Linked DNA regions of Saccharomyces cerevisiae S288C. Changing the gene in region 1 together with any one later gene gives a genetic interaction. Each region holds a gene or a part of one and is shown in the gene's direction. Other genes may lie near its edges. The genes, in order: PMR1, RAD27, RUD3 and BIG1.

The links.
Region 2: mutations in PMR1 (region 1) and RAD27 together harm fitness more than expected from each alone (negative genetic interaction), as found in Saccharomyces cerevisiae (6 studies listed by BioGRID, with this or other methods).
Region 3: mutations in PMR1 (region 1) and RUD3 together harm fitness more than expected from each alone (negative genetic interaction), as found in Saccharomyces cerevisiae (7 studies listed by BioGRID, with this or other methods).
Region 4: mutations in PMR1 (region 1) and BIG1 together harm fitness more than expected from each alone (negative genetic interaction), as found in Saccharomyces cerevisiae (4 studies listed by BioGRID).

What each region holds. Positions count from the first base shown.
Region 1 is NC_001139.9:186,215-193,696, reverse strand, and holds PMR1 (Ca(2+)/Mn(2+)-transporting P-type ATPase PMR1), read left to right. Parts: upstream 1-3,228; coding exon 3,229-6,081; downstream 6,082-7,482. Other genes in the region: YRB30 (Yrb30p), read left to right, coding at 397-1,719; CUP2 (Cup2p), read right to left, coding at 1,891-2,568; HUR1 (Hur1p), read right to left, coding at 5,901-6,233; SUA5 (threonylcarbamoyladenylate synthase), read right to left, coding at 6,358-7,482. UniProt on the Saccharomyces cerevisiae protein: This magnesium-dependent enzyme catalyzes the hydrolysis of ATP coupled with the transport of calcium. Has a role in the secretory pathway.
Region 2 is NC_001143.9:223,389-228,862, reverse strand, and holds RAD27 (multifunctional nuclease RAD27), read left to right. Parts: upstream 1-2,987; coding exon 2,988-4,136; downstream 4,137-5,474. Other genes in the region: DNA-binding protein ABF1, read right to left, coding at 98-2,293; DNA-(apurinic or apyrimidinic site) lyase APN1, read left to right, coding at 4,408-5,474. UniProt on the Saccharomyces cerevisiae protein: Structure-specific nuclease with 5'-flap endonuclease and 5'-3' exonuclease activities involved in DNA replication and repair.
Region 3 is NC_001147.6:744,813-750,708, reverse strand, and holds RUD3 (Rud3p), read left to right. Parts: upstream 1-1,729; coding exon 1,730-3,184; downstream 3,185-5,896. Other genes in the region: RFC1 (replication factor C subunit 1), read right to left, coding at 1-1,408; AIM41 (Aim41p), read left to right, coding at 3,427-3,984; SPR2 (Spr2p), read left to right, coding at 4,406-5,116; SAS5 (Sas5p), read left to right, coding at 5,428-5,896. UniProt on the Saccharomyces cerevisiae protein: Involved in the structural organization of the cis-Golgi and in vesicle targeting/fusion stages of ER to Golgi transport.
Region 4 is NC_001140.6:313,023-318,810, reverse strand, and holds BIG1 (Big1p), read left to right. Parts: upstream 1-2,842; coding exon 2,843-2,952; intron 2,953-3,039; coding exon 3,040-3,937; downstream 3,938-5,788. Other genes in the region: putative serine/threonine protein kinase KIC1, read right to left, coding at 1-2,239; GEP4 (phosphatidylglycerophosphatase), read left to right, coding at 4,138-4,695; histone acetyltransferase TRA1, read right to left, coding at 4,816-5,788. UniProt on the Saccharomyces cerevisiae protein: Required for normal beta-1,6-glucan synthesis.

The sequences.
Region 1 (7,482 bases):
ACATGTACTTATAAAACAAAAACAAAAAGTAGAATTCGATCGTCGGGGGGTCATTACATATTTATTTTAAATGATGGGCATGGTTATATATATTTAGACGTAATAAACAATTGAAAATTGGGGCCAAATTGGTAAATATCTCTATGTATTTCAATCAAAAAAGTATAATCGTATAACTTAAGGGTAAAAAAAGTTGAGCGATGTCATATTATACTTGTGCTAGCTTTTAAATTTTTCATTATCTTCAGTTTTATCGTGGTAAAGTGCCAGCCGAAACTGCCAAAAAAGATTATGGCAAGAAAATCTCACGCTGTCAGGGAAATAAAAATCTGATACAGTTTCACACTCTCAGAAGGATTAACTTTAACTATTACCTAACACCAATATCTGAAGAGAATGGATGAAATTCTTGCCAAAGCAGGTTCACAAGCCGTTACATTTGCTATAAAATCCGGAATATCGATAGCATCCACATATGCGCTAAAGACAATAACGAACTTTGTCGTCCAGATTCCTAAGGATGATGCTAGAAGAATAGATCAACTGAAATTTAAACTGGAAAGCCGCATGGCTATTGTATCCAGTGCAATTGACCTAATAAAGCTGGTAGCGGCGAGGGGAAACACGAATTTGCAAATCACTCTGAGGTTAACCAAGGATTTAAAAGAAGAGATTGATAGGTTTGATGAGAAGATCAACGAAATGACGCAGAAAGTTGAGGGTTCCAGGAGCGCAAAAACACAGAATGAAGCTATTAAAGCGGTAGAAAACTATATAAAGGACTTGCTATTGAGGATCGAAGAAATCACTCCATTCATTAATCTTTCTTTAACCACTTCTGGTGCCAACTTGAACAGCGCACTCCCATATCAACTTTCTCCTGGTTTATTATTAAAAGCCTCCGATTTCGTTAGCGAGAACAATAGAAAGTATGAAAAGGCAATGAAGAGTAATGAGAAAGGAACAGGTGACAAGGAGATTCTAAAAGTTCAAGTGGGGCCTACATTTGAGGTTACACTATTCTCTATTTTCTATAACCTAACTTCAGAAAACAATGGGCAATCAGGAATTGTTTGGAAAGAGGATATGAAACGTGCAAAAGCAAGGATATATAGATTGAACTCTACAGGCAGAAAGTATGATTATTTTATGAAAATAGAACAAGACTTCAATGACGGTAGATATCATGAGGATGATGACAAAGAAGACACACCACAGGAACTTGCCATAGATCTGAACCATATTAAGAAGCTGTTTTTCAGTGTTTCCGGTAAGCTTCTCCGATTAGAAGAACAGGATTCTCCAGTGTTGGTATTGAAGATTGACCGGAGCGATGACAAAGAAAATGAGAGCAGTGAAGGAGACAAGGGATTACTCGATGACATTACTTGGTATGCGGTAAGCGGATATGAAGCGATAGAGGAAGATGAAGAGGAAGATGAAGAGGAGGACGAAGAGGAAGGAAAAGACGGAGAAGAACGAAAGGAAGAAGAAGAAGAAGAAAATAAATTGGAGGACAAGGATTCGTCGATCACACTACTGGAGTACATCATTCGGCTGACGTCCTTACAAAGTAACGATCAGAAAAGTATATTGGAAGTGAGTGATGAAAGGTTATCTATATATTTGAACGATGAAAATACGAACTCCAGAAAGGATAGAATAAGCAATTCGACAATTGAAGAGACAGAAAAAAAGTTAAAAAACCTAAAACTTTAGGATGGTTACGTATCCTGTGCAGCCTTGGACAAATTTTATAATTGTATATATCTATGTATATGTATACGAATGGAAAAATTTATCCGAATCTCGGCCCGACTGCCAGCTTGCCGGGAGAACAAACAACCGCCAATATATGTATATGTATATTTATATAGATGTCCAGATGCATTATTGTGAATGTGAGTTATGCGAAGATACTTGTTTGTATAGCTCGTTCAACTCATTGATGGAGAATGGAATGTCAATATCGTTTAGTGCTGTGTTCGTAGTTGTATATGCGCTTCCTGTTTCATTGATACTAACAGGTTCCATAGATATACTAGGGCTTTGCTCAAGCGGATCGAGGGAAGCCAAATCAAGATTGTCAATGCTGTCGGCCTTAATTTCTCCGTTTTGCAGAGGTGGCTTCAAACTCGGCAATGTGGTTGTCATGTCTACATCCGACGAGCGACCATTTAGGCCCAAAAGAACGTCCAGATCTGCAATACCGAGACCATTGACATGCGCTGCTTCATCATTTGCCCTTCTGTGGCATGACCCTCCCTTTGATTTCCGGCTGCTTTTCCTCTTGGTATGACATTTACAAGGTTCACCCTCATCACAACGACATCGTGTTTCATCTTCCTTGCTGCCAACAGCTGGCCGTCGTGCAGAGGCACACATGCACCCACCGGATGGGTTGAAGTTCTTGGTTCTTCTCAGCTCTTTACAATGGCCACATGTGGTCGATGGTCTTCCCTTGCGTCTGATCATCTGTAGCGGACCATCAGTGTGAGTACACTGCGCCGCCCTGTGACCCCTGATACACGTTTCACAGGCATATTTGACCCCGTTAATTACGACCATTCTGTGAATACACTGATTATCAGTCCTCTTTTATCAAGCCGCCGTCTAATAAATTACATCGCCATGGCTACTGCTATTTCGTCCACAGCTTAATACTTACCGAACCAGGCCTTGCGGCTCTTACCCTGCGTGCCCGCGCACCCTGGCGACTTCGCCTCGTTTTGGCGATTTTCTTAGCAAATATTCTTTCACGATCGTAGTGGTGGAAGGTGGGTGAAAAGAGTTGCGTTCCTAGCAAGGATCGGTTGGTATCAATTGCACGTTCAGCTCATCCCTAGATAACCACTTAACAGCAAAGCCGATCGTTAAACTTTTGTATTCTACATTCTAGTTGCATTTTTTTTTTTTTTCATTTTGTTACATCAAGACAAGATTCTCTATTTAAAGAAGTACTTTTTTTGTTAACAGTGTGGACCCTACCTATCGTTATATCGAGATCTTGTTCCCTAGGCCATCGTACACTATAGCCCTTCCTTCAAGCACTTAATAGAAAAACCTCTTTTTCTACACCATCATAATAGTGTTTGCTCGCCCCGTTCTTTCCATTCCCATTTATAACAATACTAGTAACTATAATAATATCCTTACGACTGGGCAAGACAAGACGAAGCAAGGCCAGCACAGACGTAAGCTTAAGTGTAAGTAAAAGATAAGATAATTATGAGTGACAATCCATTTAATGCGAGTCTTCTTGACGAGGACTCAAACCGTGAGAGAGAAATACTAGATGCCACAGCAGAGGCCCTTTCGAAACCAAGCCCTTCTTTAGAGTATTGTACTTTATCCGTGGACGAAGCTCTAGAAAAACTGGACACTGACAAAAACGGTGGTTTACGATCATCTAACGAGGCCAACAATAGGAGATCACTTTATGGCCCCAATGAAATAACCGTAGAAGATGATGAAAGTCTTTTCAAGAAGTTCTTGTCAAATTTCATTGAGGATCGAATGATTCTACTTTTAATAGGATCCGCAGTGGTCTCTCTTTTTATGGGTAACATTGATGATGCTGTTAGTATCACACTGGCCATTTTCATAGTTGTCACTGTCGGTTTTGTCCAAGAATATAGGTCTGAAAAATCTCTAGAAGCGTTGAATAAATTGGTTCCTGCTGAATGTCACTTAATGAGATGTGGTCAAGAGAGTCATGTACTGGCTTCCACCTTGGTTCCTGGTGATTTAGTGCACTTCAGAATAGGTGACAGAATCCCCGCAGACATTAGAATTATTGAAGCAATCGATTTATCCATCGATGAAAGTAATTTAACTGGTGAAAATGAACCGGTACATAAAACCTCACAAACGATCGAAAAATCTTCCTTTAACGATCAGCCTAATTCAATTGTACCGATTTCTGAGAGATCTTGTATAGCTTATATGGGTACATTAGTCAAGGAAGGTCATGGTAAGGGTATCGTCGTAGGAACAGGTACAAACACATCCTTTGGTGCCGTTTTTGAAATGATGAATAATATTGAAAAACCGAAGACTCCATTGCAGTTAACAATGGACAAATTGGGAAAGGACTTGTCACTGGTTAGCTTCATAGTTATTGGTATGATTTGTTTAGTTGGTATCATACAAGGTAGATCTTGGTTAGAAATGTTCCAAATATCGGTATCCTTAGCGGTTGCTGCTATTCCAGAAGGGTTACCAATTATTGTCACTGTTACTTTGGCATTGGGTGTTCTGAGAATGGCCAAGCGTAAAGCCATCGTGAGAAGGTTACCAAGTGTCGAAACTTTAGGCTCTGTCAACGTTATCTGCTCCGACAAAACAGGTACACTAACCTCAAACCACATGACCGTATCTAAACTTTGGTGCTTGGACAGTATGTCCAATAAGCTAAACGTCCTCTCATTAGACAAAAATAAGAAGACTAAAAATTCTAATGGAAATTTGAAAAACTATTTGACTGAAGACGTTAGGGAAACTCTAACTATCGGTAATCTCTGTAATAATGCATCTTTCTCTCAAGAACATGCCATATTTCTGGGAAATCCTACTGATGTAGCTCTTTTAGAGCAATTGGCAAACTTTGAAATGCCTGATATCAGAAACACCGTTCAAAAAGTTCAGGAACTTCCATTTAACTCGAAAAGAAAATTAATGGCAACCAAGATTCTCAACCCTGTCGACAATAAGTGTACAGTTTATGTTAAAGGTGCATTTGAAAGAATTCTTGAGTACTCCACAAGTTATTTGAAATCAAAGGGTAAAAAAACTGAAAAGTTGACTGAAGCCCAAAAAGCTACGATAAATGAGTGCGCAAATTCTATGGCATCTGAAGGTTTGCGTGTCTTTGGATTTGCTAAACTAACTTTGTCTGATTCATCAACTCCTCTAACCGAAGACCTAATCAAAGATTTAACCTTTACTGGTTTAATCGGTATGAATGACCCACCAAGACCGAACGTTAAATTTGCCATCGAACAATTACTACAAGGTGGTGTCCATATTATTATGATCACTGGTGATTCTGAGAATACCGCAGTAAACATTGCAAAACAAATTGGTATTCCAGTTATTGATCCAAAGCTTTCCGTTTTATCCGGTGATAAATTAGATGAAATGTCAGATGATCAACTGGCCAATGTCATCGACCACGTTAATATTTTTGCTCGTGCTACGCCTGAGCATAAGTTAAACATTGTTCGTGCATTAAGAAAGAGGGGTGATGTGGTAGCAATGACTGGTGATGGTGTTAACGACGCTCCTGCGTTGAAACTTTCAGATATTGGTGTTTCTATGGGTAGAATTGGTACAGATGTAGCCAAAGAAGCCTCAGATATGGTCTTAACTGATGATGACTTCAGTACTATTTTAACTGCCATTGAAGAGGGTAAAGGTATCTTTAATAATATTCAGAATTTCCTGACTTTTCAATTGTCTACTTCTGTTGCCGCACTATCATTAGTTGCACTATCTACAGCGTTTAAACTACCCAATCCACTGAACGCAATGCAAATTCTTTGGATAAATATTTTAATGGATGGGCCACCAGCTCAATCCTTAGGTGTGGAACCTGTTGATCATGAAGTTATGAAAAAACCTCCAAGAAAACGTACCGATAAAATTTTGACCCATGATGTAATGAAACGTTTACTAACCACCGCGGCCTGTATCATCGTTGGGACAGTTTACATTTTTGTTAAAGAGATGGCCGAAGATGGTAAAGTAACTGCTAGAGATACTACTATGACATTTACTTGTTTTGTTTTTTTTGATATGTTTAATGCTTTGGCCTGCAGACATAACACAAAGTCAATCTTCGAAATCGGCTTTTTCACGAACAAAATGTTCAACTACGCCGTTGGACTGTCTCTGTTAGGTCAAATGTGCGCTATATATATACCATTTTTCCAAAGTATCTTTAAAACTGAGAAACTTGGTATCTCTGATATACTATTGTTATTGCTCATCAGCAGTAGCGTTTTCATCGTTGATGAATTGAGAAAATTGTGGACGAGGAAAAAGAATGAAGAAGACTCAACGTATTTCTCAAATGTTTGATATGTCACATTTTGTGCTTTTATCGTTTTTCCTTCCTTCCCTTTATCTTTCATGAGGACGCCCAACCCTATTGAGGTAAATGTACTAATTAATGGGAACATATGTAGATGTATATATGTACATATATTTACAACGGATACTAAGATAAACATGTATGGGCGACTTTTCGTATATACAAAGCAATATAAAATTTTATTCTTTCCTTCTTTTTCCGGACTAGATATAAAATCTCCGTAATCAGTGGTTATGATTTTCAAAAGTTAATCACAGTTTTATTTAAAACTGTATACAATTATTTGCAGCCGCCTTTCGCAATCTGTTCATAACAGCTAATCCTTCTCCTTCCTCATTTATACCTTCGACAAATATTAGGTCTACTTTATCATTTTCATCCACTTTTCTTAAAGCTGCAAACAAGTTAGTCTGTATTTCTTCACCAGATTGGCCAAGTCTTTCGATGATGAAAGTTTTCGAAGAAAAATCGGGTTCATTAAAGATCTTAGATTGTAAGTCGGAATCACGTAATTTTAGGGAAGTTAAAATCGCAATTTTTTTTATATTACTGTTGGCTTTTAATTCCGTTTCGATTAACCTCTTTAATCTTTCCATCCTATCAACGCCCTTAAGAATGCCATCGCCTTCGCAATGAGGAACTAGTAAAACAACTTTAGCTGAAGGGGAATAGTGTCTATACTTCATACCAGGCGTTCTTACCTTTTCGCCCTTTTCAACTGTTTTCTTATTCTCAACTTTACAAAGAGACCAAGCTTCACCACCCAATTTAACAATTTCTTCATATGTAAAACCGCCAGGTCGCAGTAGCGTAGGAGGATTACATAACCCATCAACAACAGTACTTTCTACACCAACCTTGCACGCTCCGCCATCAAGAATTATGGGAATTTTATCCTTTAGATCATGATAAACATGAGACGCTAAAGTAGGAGATGGCCTAGTAGACGCATTCGCTGAAGGAGCAGCTATTGGTGTATCGCTCAGGGCAATCAGTGCTCTAGCCACTGGATTAGCGGGTATGCGTACCGCAAACGTAGGCTGATCTGCGGTCGTTAACTTTGATAATGCACTATGCTCTGAAGATGGAACTGGCAAAAGAATTGTTAATGGGCCAGGCCAAAGGCTTGAAATTAATGGGCGATAGATTGAGGGTATGTTATCAAACAAGGATGTACCTGATAGATGCGGTTGATTAAAGACCTTTCTGTTAAGTTGATCAATGGATGAAACATGTGTAATCAAAGGATTGTCACTAGGCCTATTTTTGGCCCTGTATATACTAAGCACTGAATTATCATTTAAAGCAGAACCTCCAAGACCATAAACAGTTTCGGTTGGAAAAGCCACAGTCTCATCTGTATCTCTTATTATCCTCGCCGCTTCAAC
Region 2 (5,474 bases), on another chromosome or scaffold:
AAGATATAATATATATTTCAATAGAAAAGAAAAAGTATAGAAAAGTGAATAAACAAAAGAAACATGAGAAAAATAGCTCGTCTTCTCAACTGGGTATCTATTGACCTCTTAATTCTGGTTGAATGTTTTCATCAGAAAGGTCTTCTTCATCATCGGCTTTCCCTATTAGTCCAGCAACATCTTCTTCATCGTGATGAGGTTGGCTATGATGGTTATTATGATGAGTTGTGTTCTTATTATACTGCGATTCTACATCCACGTCCACCATTACATCGTCTACGTCATCATCATTATTCTGGTGTAGATTCTCTACCTCTTTCAAATGCGATGACAGTAACCTTAACTGTTCCGCCACTTCATGTGGTAGTTTGTCGTCTTCATTTCTCTCTTCCAGTGTGATATCTGACAAATGCTGTCTTTTGGACTTGTGAGCATCTTCTGAATCCATATCGTTGATCAAGTTTTCATCTACCACGTTTCTCGACGAATTGTTATGGCCATCACCATTCTTGTCATCAATGGACCTCTTATAAGAATTGATCTTGTCTATGGCTAACTGAGCAGTTTCACGAGCTTCTTGAGCGTCTACTTCAGCCAAGGTTGGGTGGACATTTTCATTACCGCCATCGTTTGATTCATCTAGGCCAACCATGGACACGTCTGAATGAGTTATTTGATCTGGCTTGCTCCATTTATTGACGCTTGGCATCTTCTTGGGTTGATACCGGTGACTAGAGGTTTTATCTAGCACACTTTCCATTAAATTTGAGGCGTCATTATTATTGTTGCCGTTATTATCGTCATTACTGTCATTCTTGTTATTATTCACATTTTTGGTTGTGTTCGATGAGGTACCCGCACTTGATATTTCCTGATGTTTGGCGTAGTCGATAGAGTTACTTCTCAAGTTCGTGCCAGAAAGCTCACCATCGTTGTTATTGTTGTTATTGGAAGATGAAGAAGGTTGTAAATCATTATACTCGCCCATTTTTTTCTTTTTCAAAACAAATCTTGCTTTATACGTCGTTATACGTCTGGCTATTTGGGAAAGTAACCTTTTTTCGAAATCTTCGGCGGTTAATCCATATCTTTGCATTAAAATGTCTAAAAGACCGGACTCCTCCACGTAATGAGAAACTTTAAATTTACTCACTGTATGGTTAGAATTATTGTAAGAGCTTTCTAGTATTTGATCAAACTTTAAATCGTTTTGTAAAATCTTTGGAATCTTAGTTAGGATAAATTTACCCAGTGACAAGTTATCTTCTAGTGGGTGACTATGATAGGGCTCAATTTTGGTAACGACAAATGGGCCCGGTATATCATCGGTAGCAGAATTGAAGACGTCTAAATTCATAGACGTGTCTCGTATGGAGGATGGTGAGTGGGAGGAAATGCCGTGGCTACCGACATTGTTGTTATTGATATTGCTGTTATTGTTGTGATCGTTATTAGTATTATTATCTTGGCCATCATTGTTGTTAGTGGCATCATCGTCTTTTCCATCGTGCTTATTGTTTGATTGAGAATCTACATTTGCGACGGCATTGGCAATGGCAACGTTGATGTCTTCATCGTTCACTACGTCAGAATAGTTTTTCGTCATTTGGGTATGGACGTCATCCTCCTCGTTGTGACGGTGGTTACCGCTGTCATTACCATGAGTAGGACCGCTCTCGTCGTCCAATCCCCGGTCAATAGAGGCCTTATTTATCGAATCATCTTCAGTGTCGTTCTTGATAGTAACACCTTGCTGTTTAAAAATGTTGTTGGCATCAGCATCATCGTCATTGTTCCCATTCACCTCATTGCTTCTCGACTCCACTTTGTCATTGGTGTCGTCCGGATGAGTGTTCGCCAGATGGTATTCAAGATCATCAGTAACGAAGTCAAGTTTACTGTCATTGCTAACCTTATTATTACTGCCATTGTTATTATCATTGTCCTCGTTGTTCATGTTGTTGCTATGATGATGAATATGATCAGGAGTACCCGGAGGGTTGGTATTATTATTTGCAGAAGGAGATGAGGTTTCTGAGGATGCAGCATTGCCAGCATAGCTTAGCAAGACTTTAAATGGACAGTTTTTCAAATGACAGGCAAATGTAAAATGTTTGTTCCTATGCGAATTCTTTAAAATAATAGGGCAACGCGTCTGAAATTCGTACTCATTAATTACATCATACCAAGCACCCAAGGTGGGAAATTTTTTGCCTCCATGGGCTCCAATGGCCAGGTCTTTATTAATTATAGGGTGCTTGTATTCATAATAATTCACGACTAATTTGTCCATCCTTGTGAAATTGCAAATATGGTGATTTGAAACGTTTCCTAGTGCAGCAGGATCACAGATAACGTGTAAAGGGCTTAGCAGTTGATAATCCTCTCTAGTTGAGATCTAAACAAAATGCTGTCACTAACCGTAGTATTAAATGACACACTTTGGTGACTTTCGTTAATGGGGATGTGGTAGTGGCCATTGCCAATAAACAAAAAGAACAGGGAAAGAAGTAGAAAGTGATATAAGTTTGCTTGCCACTTTTCGTTTTTCACGAAAAAAACAGGCGAAAAAAAATGCTAGACTAGTACCCGGCTGAATCACACCTCGTTAACAGTGACTTTCGGTGACAGATACCCGATTGGGCACCCGGCTGGTAAGTTATGATAGAAAGCCAACGCTGTACTATTGGCTTAGCTATGGCAATATTTTGATTATCAACTAGTTTTATTAACGTTATAATTAGTGTAACCAGTTTTTCATCTATTTCATTTATTTCATTTATTTACTTTAATTGCAGATCCCCCTAACGCGTTTAAAGCTTTTATTCACTAGCTTATGTATTTTTTATAGGAAACGCGACGCGTAACATCGCGCAAATGAAGGTTTTGATGTATTATAATGAGGTATTCTTCCTTATATACATCGATGAAAAGCGTTGACAGCATACATTGGAAAGAAATAGGAAACGGACACCGGAAGAAAAAATATGGGTATTAAAGGTTTGAATGCAATTATATCGGAACATGTTCCCTCTGCTATCAGGAAAAGCGATATCAAGAGCTTTTTTGGCAGAAAGGTTGCCATCGATGCCTCTATGTCTCTATATCAGTTTTTAATTGCTGTAAGACAGCAAGACGGTGGGCAGTTGACCAATGAAGCCGGTGAAACAACGTCACACTTGATGGGTATGTTTTATAGGACACTGAGAATGATTGATAACGGTATCAAGCCTTGTTATGTCTTCGACGGCAAACCTCCAGATTTGAAATCTCATGAGTTGACAAAGCGGTCTTCAAGAAGGGTGGAAACAGAAAAAAAACTGGCAGAGGCAACAACAGAATTGGAAAAGATGAAGCAAGAAAGAAGATTGGTGAAGGTCTCAAAAGAGCATAATGAAGAAGCCCAAAAATTACTAGGACTAATGGGAATCCCATATATAATAGCGCCAACGGAAGCTGAGGCTCAATGTGCTGAGTTGGCAAAGAAGGGAAAGGTGTATGCCGCAGCAAGTGAAGATATGGACACACTCTGTTATAGAACACCCTTCTTGTTGAGACATTTGACTTTTTCAGAGGCCAAGAAGGAACCGATTCACGAAATAGATACTGAATTAGTTTTGAGAGGACTCGACTTGACAATAGAGCAGTTTGTTGATCTTTGCATAATGCTTGGTTGTGACTACTGTGAAAGCATCAGAGGTGTTGGTCCAGTGACAGCCTTAAAATTGATAAAAACGCATGGATCCATCGAAAAAATCGTGGAGTTTATTGAATCTGGGGAGTCAAACAACACTAAATGGAAAATCCCAGAAGACTGGCCTTACAAACAAGCAAGAATGCTGTTTCTTGACCCTGAAGTTATAGATGGTAACGAAATAAACTTGAAATGGTCGCCACCAAAGGAGAAGGAACTTATCGAGTATTTATGTGATGATAAGAAATTCAGTGAAGAAAGAGTTAAATCTGGTATATCAAGATTGAAAAAAGGCTTGAAATCTGGCATTCAGGGTAGGTTAGATGGGTTCTTCCAAGTGGTGCCTAAGACAAAGGAACAGCTGGCTGCTGCGGCGAAAAGAGCACAAGAAAATAAAAAATTGAACAAAAATAAGAATAAAGTCACAAAGGGAAGAAGATGAGGGGGTTCTTTTTCCACTTTCTTCTTTTGGTCCTTCACCTTGGCATATATGTAACATAGATATTTGTATACACGAACTTTTTTCATCTAATACTTCTCTTTTTTTGCCAGTTTTTCTGGGAACTTGAACGTGGAATTTTTCATTCTTACCTGGTTTCTTTTTCTTCATTTCTTTACATGTTGGAAATCATTGTAAATATAAGATGACAAACTCCGAATAAGAAACACAAAACGCAACATTAATAAGCTTTTGGCATATCGGAACCATCGTAATGCCTTCGACACCTAGCTTTGTTAGATCTGCTGTCTCGAAATACAAATTTGGTGCGCACATGTCAGGTGCCGGTGGAATTTCTAATAGTGTAACTAATGCATTTAACACTGGCTGTAATTCGTTTGCCATGTTTTTAAAATCTCCAAGAAAGTGGGTTTCTCCGCAGTATACACAGGAGGAAATAGATAAATTTAAGAAAAACTGTGCAACTTACAATTATAACCCATTGACGGACGTCTTACCGCATGGCCAATACTTTATTAATTTGGCTAATCCGGATAGGGAAAAGGCAGAAAAGAGTTATGAGTCATTCATGGACGATCTGAACAGGTGTGAGCAATTAGGGATAGGCCTGTATAACTTACATCCAGGTTCTACTTTGAAAGGAGACCATCAGTTGCAGTTAAAACAACTAGCCTCATATTTGAACAAAGCAATTAAGGAAACGAAATTTGTTAAAATTGTATTAGAAAATATGGCTGGTACTGGAAATTTAGTAGGAAGTTCTCTGGTAGATTTGAAGGAGGTTATTGGAATGATTGAAGATAAATCAAGAATCGGCGTTTGCATAGATACATGCCATACATTTGCAGCAGGCTACGATATCAGCACCACTGAAACGTTTAACAATTTTTGGAAAGAGTTCAATGATGTAATAGGGTTCAAATATCTAAGTGCTGTTCACTTAAATGATTCCAAGGCTCCTTTAGGAGCAAATAGAGATTTGCATGAACGCTTGGGTCAAGGTTATTTGGGTATAGATGTGTTTAGAATGATCGCGCACTCTGAATACCTGCAGGGTATCCCTATTGTCTTGGAAACTCCATACGAAAATGATGAAGGCTATGGTAATGAAATCAAACTTATGGAGTGGTTGGAATCAAAGAGTGAGAGCGAATTGTTAGAAGACAAGGAGTATAAAGAAAAAAATGATACGCTGCAGAAATTAGGTGCTAAATCGCGTAAGGAACAGTTAGACAAGTTTGAGGTTAAACAAAAGAAGCGAGCTGGGGGCACCAAGAGGAAGAAAGCCACTGCAGAGCCAAGCGATAATGATATCTTGTC
Region 3 (5,896 bases), on another chromosome or scaffold:
ATACTCTATCGAATGGTCTCATTTTTGGTAAATTACGTTCATTACAAATTAGAATCAATGGAGTTGACGTCTTACGACAAAACTGTGCCAGCTGGCCAACTCCCCCCCTATCGCCTCCGCTCATACCATCAACTTCATCCATGATAATGACAAAATGTTTCCCGTTCAAATTTTGAGCTTCTTCGTTGTGTTTGAAATATCCCACTACAGACATGTTATCAAGAGCGTTTTTAACACCGGCATTAAGTAAAGTTTTAGAGCGAACATCAGAAGCGTTTTGTTCAAGAATGTCATACCCAAGCTCTTGTGCAACTAAATGAGCAGCAGTTGTCTTCCCAATACCAGGAGGACCGTATAACATTGCAGCCCTGAAAACACCAGAGCCATCTTTACCAGCATGTTTAAAACTATTTTTCTTTGAATTTTCCCAATTAGCCAACCAGTTTTTTAATTTCATTACACTTCCTTTGTTACCACAGACCTGTTGTAGATTCGTTGGTGCGTACTTTACTGTCCACAATTTATCTTCTTCCCTAACCACATTGTCTCTCTCCAGATGGCCACCAGAAACTCTAGTGGCTGCAAGCTTCTTCGACCTTTCCTCTTCTTTCTTAACAAGCAATTCTGCTTCTTTGGTAGCAATATTATGCTGTTCTTCTAATTTTCGACGTGCTTTTTCGGCAGCTTCCCCGTCACCACCTTCAGCAGGCATCCCAGCAATTAATTGCTTAAAGCCTTCTTCGTCTATGGCTTTGATTTTCAATTGCTTGATTTTTTCTAGTTTCTTTGGCCCTGCTTCATCACCTAAGACTACTACAGAAGTTTTGCTTGAAATTGATTTAGTAACCCTTGCTCCGTATCTTTTCGCTAAAGCTTCCGATGCACCACGCTCCAAGGTTGGCAGAACACCTGTGAAGACAATTGTTAGACCTAATAAACAATTTGGCTTTCCTTCTGGAAAACTACCTATTTCAGAAACAATTTCATCTGGATCCGCATTTGAATTTGCGCTTTTGAAATCAAATTTAGCATTCTCTTTCACATGAACATTTGACAGATCCAAGGATGGAATCTTATCTAGTACATCTTGAGCCGTAATATTCGAAGCCGAGTCTGAACTTTTAGAGGAGGGTTTGGTTTTTTTTGAACTTGCTGGCTTTACAGTTGGTGAAGAGGCCTTCCTCTTAGCGGGAAGAGGTAGCTTTTTTTCTCCTTCAGGTGTCTCTGATACATCAATTACATTACTTACAGGCATCTTCTTTGGTGTTTTATTGGTTGATTCTTGGTCAGATTCAGTATCTAAGTCGATAACTTCTGGTTTAGACGAACCCACCTGTCTCGTAGGTCTGGATGTTGACGATCTTACGGATTTCTTATTTTTACCAAAGAAATCAGAAATATTGACCATTTTCTTCAGCTTAGTTTATTATGAAGTGACTTGAAGTTATAAAATTAACTGCGAGATACCCAATTCCTTATTGTGTAAGGATCAAGCAGCGTATTCAACGAAGCCACTGTTTTCGCTGAGAGATCGGCTGTTCCTTCTCATGTTGATTTTTTTTTCAGTACTTCTTTTTGAATTTCGTGCTCATTTCGATACGAAAAATGGAAACAAACAGAAAGACCATTCATGAAGAACAAGAAAATCTTGTATAAACAGCTATATAGTAGATGCTTGTGTATACTTTCCACTTGATCCCCTCAAACAATTGCATTTTTTTTAATTAGAATGGGTAAAAATAAGAAGAAAACAGGTAAGAAGGCCAAGAGTCATCCTCATGTGGAGGACGTTGATGAAACCGTCAATAAACCTGAAGAAATCATCAATTCTGTAAACGTCACCGTTCCTCCAAAAATGTCCACAGATCCAGAGGCTGATGGTATCGTGGCAAGCCCGGACGATGAGGGGAAAGATCTCTCTGAAGGAGTAGACAAACAAAAAGTAAATGACGGCCTGACTGTAGACACCATAAATCCTTTAGAGGACAAAAAGGCTGGTGATGAGATGAAGGAACTAAGGGAAGAAATTGAACGTTTAAAATTGGAACTAAGCCACAAGAAGGATCAAGAAACGCCTAATGAAGACTTCAAAAATGAACTAGCAAATGTTATTAAGGAAAGAGACGAATTCAAAACACAGTATGACACATTATTGAGCAAGATATCTTCTATGAAATCAATTTTTAATAAGATGAAAGAAGCACAAAAACAATTAGAGGAAGTGCAGGAGCAGCTTACTGAATATGAATCACAAAATCTGAAATTGAAGAAGAAACTTGAAGCTACCAAGACCGAAAACTCTGAATTACAATCCACGATTGTGACCCTAAATACAGAGTTAGAAAACCTAGAAAAGGAGCAAGAAAGTACAGAAGAGGTTTTTTTGGAATACGAATCAAGGATAGAAGCTTTGGAAGATGAAAAACACGACATAATTGAAAAACATAGTAAGGAACTTAACACTTACAGGAAGGAAAAAGATCAATTAAATCTCCAAGTTCAGGAACTCATGATAATCTTAGAAAATAATAAACAAGATATATCTGACTTGAGAACAGAAAGAGATGAATTGAGACAGGCTTTGGAATCCCATGAAAAGGAGAAAGCAGTATTAAAGAATTCTCTAAATGATCTGGAATTGAAGATAGAAGAAGTTGACAACAAAAGGGAAGAAGAGGCTAGAGAGAGAGACCAGGAAGTCAAATCTTTACGATCCCAACTTGACACGGAGATAGAAACGCACAACAATGACACAGAAGCTTTAGAAAGCATGAAAAAACAGCTAGAAGCCATGAAGGAGGACGCCTCTATGAAGGAAAAATATGAGGAAGAATCTAAGCAGCACATCTTACAGATCGGAAAACTACGTCACGAAGCCATTATACTAAATGAGCATTTAACAAAGGCACTGGCCATGTTGAAGAAATCAAGCGATTCTGAATCCGTTGATAAAGAACTGATATCCAATCTATTGATATCTTTCGTGTCCATACCCAGAGCAGACCCAAGAAAGTTTGAAGTTCTTGAATTACTGTCCAATTTCTTAAACTGGGATGAAGATAAGAAACAACAGGCCGGCTTGATCTCGAATAATGAGTCTAAGAATTCAAGCGCTGTATCGAGAACGGAAAGCTTTGTATCGCTTTGGACCAACTACCTCGAGAAAGAGAGTGAGAAAGACTAATCGGGCAAACTAAGTCTAGTTCAGAAGAGCATACGTACTTAGTGTAGCATCACCCAATTTATACTCTATAAACGATAAATGATATAAATCACATCTACCCGGCATCTGGGACTTTTCGGGGGGAAGGACTCAAAATTAAAGGGAAGAAAAAGGATCTGCAACATTTTTTACAGAAGTAATGAACTGGAGAAAAAAGACTTTGGGATAAAGTTGGGGAATACAGCAAATAACACTATTCCAAGATGTTCAGACAATCAATTAGGCCACTTGTTTCAAATAGACTAACCTTCATTCGTTATAACAGTTCTCCAGCCTACACGGCTGCAGTCAGCCTATTGAAAGGAGATTTGAAAAAGGCTATGATTGCCAAGGATGAGATGAAGAAGACAGCAATCAGAAATATGTTATCTGCCATAAAAAACAAAGAAATTGCTTTAAAAGGGAAGAGCGCTGATGAGTACTCCCTGTACGACATGTACTCCAAGTTAATATCTCAAAGAAAGGACTCGATCAATGAGTTCCTTGCTAACAAGAGGGACGATCTGGTGGCCAAAGAGCAAGGTGAAATGGACATTATAAAGAAATATATGGACCAATTGCCAGTGTCTTCAGAGCTTGATATTGATCAAAATGTGAAGAAATTACTGGACGCCCTCAAAACAAAGGCAGGTGAAAAAAAAGTTCAAATTAAGGAAATCATGGGAGAAATCGACTGGAAGTCATTGCCAACAGAATGGAAGACATCTCCAACTGCCATCAAAAATAGCATTGTTAAGCAATTCAAGGAAATTTTCAAATGAGGTCCTTGTTTTCTGCGCGATGAATCACAGCCCAACCTTCAATAGTAAAAAAGAAGTAAAAATATTCGTCAAAAATTATGAAAGATACTTTGTTAATACATATCACAGTTACATATTAAAATAAAAAATTAATGCTCGCTTCCTTTCACCTTTTTTTTTTTTTTTGTGGCTACGTTTTTGTGTCCCATGGCAACCATGATATGTCTTGCTAACTGTCATTTGCCCTTTGTTTATAAAAGAGGCCGCTTTTGTATAATGTATAAATTATTCTTTTCCTGAAAGTATTTGTAGTTATCCAAGACAAAAAACCAGCAGCTAACATTGCTACACATAACTAAAGAACAACACCAAGCCAGTAACTAGCACGAAAGGAAGGAAAGTAAAGTTTTGTATCCCATTCTCTTTTTTGATCCTTATTGAAATGTTAGGATTATATCTATCCTCCCTTTTCTTCGCCTTTTTTATGGCACAAGTGTTTGCTACCAAATACTCAATTACTTTTACATCAGATGAGTATGAAGAAGATGAAACAGGACAAAATGAACCTGGTCCTTTAGTTTTCCATTTGGATAAAAACTCATTACCACCAGCTCTGCTAAATCAAATGGAGTTTAATCCATACTTAGTATTAGCAGATTTACCGGAGGAGCCGCGAGCTGTTGATTCTCAAGAACATACCGATACGGTCCTTGCTTCCAAATCTGTTATAGATTTTCTGTTGGAAGATCCTCTAACAATAGTGGAGCACAAAAAGTTTTCTCAAATTGAAAGTATTCTACATGAAATTATGGAAGACAGCATACAGAAGAAAGTCGGGGCAGACGAGGTATTTGAAGAGATTCCGAAACCGAAAATTTACGCGTATGAAGATATTTTAGTAACTAATATGAGCATCATCAATAATAGTGAAATGCCGACAAGTACTGCAACATTAACGAGCACCATTTCTTATTTATCTAGTACGACAAGTTTAGCTTTATCCACGGGTGTTACCAGCGTTGAGATTTTCCCAACAATCACCCCGGGAAATATTACAACTATTGGGGGATACGAAAATTCATCATCCTCCTTAATGCCGTCGATGGGAATCTTATCTTTTCTATTTGGTCTGTACTTGTTACTTCACCCTTAAAGTTCGGCAGTCATATAATCAAAGTTTTGATAGAGAAAGCATTTATATAACATATAAGCAAATGACCAATTAATGGTATTATTTAGTGACGTTTACAGCTGGCGCGGTCGCGTTACACGGGCAAGAAAAAATCAAAGCCACATCAATAAGTCATCACCATTAGAGAGTTGCACGACAACAAACTAGAACAGCCATGTTCGGGTGAAGAGGAAGTGCAGCAACTCAAGTTTTTCTACAGACTAAATTGTTTTTACTCTTGACTCCAAAAGCCCTTTTTTTTTTTTTTGGTGCCATATAATAGACGCTCTTTTATGGATCATTCAATAGAAGTCACTTTCAGAGTAAAAACACAACAGGTTATAATACCGGAACAAAACATCCGGGGAAATGAACTTCCCTTACGTCGGTGGCAGATGGAACTCCTCATGTTAGATGCAACAGGAAAGGAAGTGGAGCCTACCATCCTCTCTAAATGCATCTACCATTTGCACTCTAGCTTCAAACAGCCCAAAAGACGACTGAACTCGCTGCCATTTTTTATCAAGGAAACCGGTTGGGGAGAGTTTAACTTAAAAATAGAATGCTTTTTTATAGGTAACGCTGGAAAGTTTAGCATTGAACATGACTTAACGTTTGAAGATGATGCATATGCAGTTGACTATACCGTTGATGTGCCTCATGAATTCTCACATCTCAATAGTGAACTATCTAAATATTTTGATCTCCCGTGGAAAGTAGTGTCTCCGGAGGAAGAAATGTCTCTTCGTATAGCCGATTTGC
Region 4 (5,788 bases), on another chromosome or scaffold:
TTTGGGTTGGGGAACCGGCAGGCTTTCTATTGGGAGAAGTTCCAACTCCAAATAGTGGCCTTGAGGGTGAAGAAGCCTTATGAGTAGATAACTTTGTTACATTACCTGGATTGGTTATGCCCATTTGTGTGCTATTTGCAGTGTTACTACCGCTGCTTCCTCTTGAGTTCTCACTATCAGTGTTGTTGTTATAGTTATTACTGTTGTTCGGAGTGGAGCTGATTCCGGAATTAGAAGCAACTGCGGACCCCAATTTTTGATTTGTTATGGTGCTTGGGCAATGTTCTGGCCTATTGTTACTGACTGTCAACCGCCTGGGCACGTTTGAAGGTGATTTATATTGTATTGAGCTAGATGACGAAGGAGTGCCAGCCGTCACTGTAGATGACCTGGCCTTTGTGCTTGGTATTAAAACCGGATCTGCGCTCGCAGGCGTTGGTAGAGCACTATTCGGTAGTTCTTCAGGAATTTCTATTTCAATAGACGTTGGAGCAGTAGTTAATCCACTTGTTGGAGGGCCCTTTGACGTCTTGTTAAATTTTGTTTGGAGTAGCGGCAAAGCAGGTGTACTCTGGCTATAATAATTGTTCCCACTGGATAAAGGTGGAAGGTGTGGTCGCATTTTATTATTATTGATATTTCCGTTGACCTCGTTGGATATTGAGGGAATGAAATCATCTCGTGAACTATTACCAGCATTTAGAGATGAAATGGATTTGCTTATTTTAGGAGCTTCTGTATTGACATCATTTTCAGCAGTAATAATTTCATTGTCTTCAAAAAGTTCAAGTAATTGTTTTGGAGCCTTACTTTCCAGCCTCTTAGATGATGTCATTGGACCGGCCGTATGTGTTCCAGAGGTGTTTGTAGTTCCAGCTACCATTTTGGAAGGGTATTTTGAGTTCGTATAGTTATTTGTTACTGGTGCATTCAAAGTAGAATTTTGAGCTATTGTACCAGGATAGCCCTTTCCTATCGTTGTCCCTTGATAAACAAAGGGTCTAGTATTATGACTTGTAGGGTCAAAGTAATAAGAATCTTCGTCAGGGTATGCATAGTTGAACAGGTCATGTTGGGCAGTAGCCCACTCGTTGTTGTCCTCAGCCAAAGCATCGAGGTTGATATTATTTTCAATAATATAATCCGACGAACTCAATGAATCAAAATCCCATTTCATTTCCACATCGCCTTCGTTCACTCTCTTAATTTCATTATCATTTGATGCTATTGACTTTTGTGCTTCATCACCCCCGCCATTTTGTGATGGTTTTGGAGCTTCACTGGGTTTTGATGGCTCATTTTCCGGTATACTGCCCTCTATTTTATATTTGTTTTTATTCTTGTCCCTAAATAGTAGATATCGTGATATTAGTTCTTTCAAAATGGACGTTGGCGTCGCCTTGTGGGCCCTGATAAATTTTGATTTTAAAAGATCGTCTGCTGACAATCTCTCCTTTGGATCCTCATCAAGACAAAGCGCAATAAATTCTTTCAAAGATGTACTGTATGATCTGTCCTCAAGCCTCGGTGGTTTCGATTTGATGATTAGTTGCATTGCCCTTAGGGCCTCCACATCGCAGTATGGCGGATTTCCGGTGGCAATCTCGTACGTTGTAATACCTAAAGACCATATATCTACTTTAGTGTCGTAATAAACGCCTTCCATGATCACTTCTGGAGCCATCCAGTAGGGGGTCCCAGCCATAGTTTGACGTCGTAAAGAAGTTTGGTTTACTTGTGCAGCGACACCAAAATCGCATAGTTTAACATTACCTTCGTTAGTGATCAGAACGTTTGCTGCTTTGATATCTCGATGAATGACGTTATCTTTATGAATGCATTTTAATGCTACAAGCAGTTCTCTCATAATAACCCCAATGTACTTTTCATCGATTTTGCCTGGCCTTAACAACGAACGCAGTGAACCACCAGCGCAGTGTTCCATTATGATCCAAAGGCTTGTGTCTTTCAAATACGACCCATAATACCGCGTGATATTGGAAATCTGTTTCAAGGAGGCCAAAAACTGAATTTCTCGCTGCACATCCTCCACCTCGTCAGAATCAGAATCTAAATTTAAGACTTTGATAGCATACACTCGTCCAGTCTTCACGTTATAGCCCTTATAAACCACACCAAATTTCCCTCGCCCAATAACTTCCGTTCTCTTGAAAAGTGAACTCACATCCATCTCTCCTTCGGCTAAACCCTGCTTACTATTTTGTGGCTTCGTCGTCATTACTGCCTGTTCTCTATACGTGTTTTGCTTGCCAGTCGATGGCGCCCAAATTTATACTTTTTGTTTCTTTATCTGTGTACTGTTAAAAGTAGTACTGTTAAAAGTAGTAAGCTCCTTAGAAAGCGGTTCCGCCTAATAGTTCCTAACTTGTTGTATGTGGCTTCACGTAGGACGAGTTGCCTCTGTTCTTCTTTGACTTTTGCCACGTCGGCAAGCTGCTGCTCTTGTTGATGCCTTTAAAGATTGTCAGATCGGCCTGAGATCGACGTGTGGCATGATAATGTTGCTCGATGGGCTGTAAATAGATAAGAAAGAGTGAAACGAATAGAGTAACGAGGCCACAGATGTGGCGAAACCTGGGAGGATATGTTCTAACGTTATCTAGAGTTCTGATAGAGCATTGTATGCGATAGTACCGCTGACATATGTGCATTCTTTAATTATATCGATGATATCATGCAACACGGGTTAGCTCTGTAGTAATGTAAACCTCTCTTAACTACGGCCAAGAATATCAGCAGCGGAGGTTAAGTTGCAGGTTATACCTATCTGTTTTGTAGTTAGGAAACGTAGGCGCATACTAATTAGGAGTAGCAAGGCAAGATGCAAACTGTGTTGAAATATTTGTTGCTTATTATGTGTGGAAGCTTTTGTGCTTCGGAGGAATTGCAAAACCAGACCAATGTTCCTGCAATATTCTTCTCTTACAAACTGTATGTAGAACAAGAAACATTAATCTTTAGTAACTTTCATTTTTCTTACTAACTAGATGTTATACACATATTTGTACTTTTGGATAGAACTCCCGGTATTTTAAAGTATCAAGAGGATTATGATAGGGCTGTGACTTTACCAAGAGACACCTTTATTGAAGCGGCTGAGAAATTCTTAGGTGTATGTAATGCTGACACTTATGTGTTTATTAATCAACCAGGCCTGAGGAAATTGGACTTCTTGGAATTTGAAACAGAGTTTGTTTCGTTACAGAGATATATAAGACGGAGTTCAACCGCGATTAAGTTCGAAAAGGTAGACCTATTGCCTCAAGATTTATACTATGATCTTGCAGAGTTTGTAAAGGAGTATTGTAACGTAGACCAGGTGTTGAACTTACGAGGTAATAATACAGAAGATTTCCAGCCCTTTATTGATAGCGAAAAAAGAGTGATTATAATAGAGTACCCTAAGTTACCAGAGGACACTAATGAACGTAAAGAAGCATTCCGCCATTATGACAAGTATTTGAGGACTATACTGGCGCAGATTCCGTCGCCAGAACAAAATGTCATTTACACCTCGTTAAACCCAGGAACTACGCTGGCTCACGAGTCGATCATCCCTATCCAAATATTTCCAGATATCTTTGACATAAAATCCAGAGTGGGTGAAGTGGAACAAAATAATAGAGTTTTGGATGTGCCTCGTCTGTCGTTTAATGACTATACTCCACGATTTTCAGAGCCACCTTCGGAGTATGTCTCAATATTTGATTCACAATTAATTGAGAATAACAGAGGTTTATTACAGCTGATTTTCACAATTTTGGTTGGGTATATTCTTATTCAGTTTTTTTTCACAAAAAAAACTATTGTAGATGAGAAGATTACTAATAAAAAGGACAACGTGAAACAGACGTCACCACAACTGCTCAAAAAAGTGCAAGAGATCCAGAAAAAGCCATCCCAGCAAGTATCTTGATTATGGTTCGTTATATACATCGATTCTTTGCAAAATTATCCATGAGAGACTTCGCGCCATGCTACAATTTACCAATGCGCATCGAGAAATTTATGCTATCGCATTTAATATGATATAATTATCCGTCTGTTTATATATATATATATATGGGGCCAAACTGAAAGGCGGCAGTTACATTACATCGTCTCCTCTACCTAGTCATGAACATCAGTGGCACCTTAAATACGCTCCGGTTGCTTTATAACCCATCACTGTGTAAGCCTAGTCTAGTTGTCCCCACTTTTAACGATCTTCCTATACCAATCCACGATTCTATAAAGGCCGTGGTCTTGGATAAGGACAACTGCATCGCCTTCCCTCATGATGACAAAATATGGCCAGATTACTTGCAACACTGGGAAACCTTAAGGTCGAAATACTCTAACAAAGCACTCTTGATTGTTAGCAATACCGCCGGTTCCAATTCTGATAAGGACTATTCGCAAGCAAAACTTTTGGAAGATAAGACAGGTATACCTGTTTTGCGGCACTCTACAAAGAAACCAGGTTGTCACAACGAAATATTAGATTATTTTTATAGAAACAAAACCATAACAAATCCAAAAGAGGTTGCTGTTGTTGGAGATAGGCTTTTTACTGACATCTTGATGGCAAACCTAATGGGTTCATACGGGGTGTGGATTCGAGATGGTGTTAAAGTTTCGGCAAATCCTCTCTCCAAGTTCGAAAAAAAATTATACAACTTTTTGGGATTTTGATTAGGCAACTTTAATAAAAAGTAAAACATTTTAATTTTTTATATAGTACATATTTTTTGAGGCTTTCTCTACCTTCATTAAATACAGAGAAAAGGCCGGAAACTAACCCATGTATCAGCTCTAGAACCATGGCATGAAGTTCACGTCTGTTCTTGCTAAGTTTCTTGGACTGACAGCGCTGCCAATACAGTCTAGGATGAACTGGGTTGTGACTGTAGGTGTTGAATTCAAATGGCCCAATTGTGCCACCTTTCTAATAATTAGGTCAACGTTGGTTTGAACCATCTCACGTAACTGTGGATTTTCAATGATTGGCCGGTGAAGGTTGCTAAACCATGATATGATCTCGTCACGGATGAATAGGGCCAAGTATGTGTTCAGTTCATTATCAGGTTCAATTAATGCACGTGATATGGTAAATAAATTTACCGCAAATATACCTTCTAAAGCAGAATCACCTATCAAAGATTGAATATTAGGCGTCAGTCTGAATGGAACTGGTTCATTATTATGAAATATCGGAGAATCTGGTGGAAGACTTAAGTCATGATTCTTTAGCAATGGTTTCACCCTTTCATATGGAAATCTTGAGGGTAACATTTCTAAAGTAAATACATTACCAGAGGTTTTGTCAACATGGATTTTGTGAGGAGTACGGTTATTGATCATCATCATGTAAGACATGAAGACAAACGAACTGTATTGTGACGCAAATTGTTTACGGAATAACCAGAAATCTTCAAATTGAGTAAACAACGAGGTAAAATGGTCTTTTAAAACATTTGATGGTACAAACATTGTTTGAATTGAATTGAAAATTTCAACTTTCAATATGGTCATATCTGGCGCAGGCAGAGCATCATCATGCGCTGCGTTTAGTTTATCTGCCATAAAATCTTGGATATCATCCGGGTCAAATCCTTTTTTCTTGCAAAATTCATTGTGAATTTCATGAAGGGTAGTAAAAGAAACACTATCATTCATGATACGGACTTGTGGAGATAGCGGGATTGCTATTGGTAGATTGAACTGTATACTGCGACGTCTTGTTTCCACATTCTTGGATAATGACTTGTTGAATAATCTGTACAAT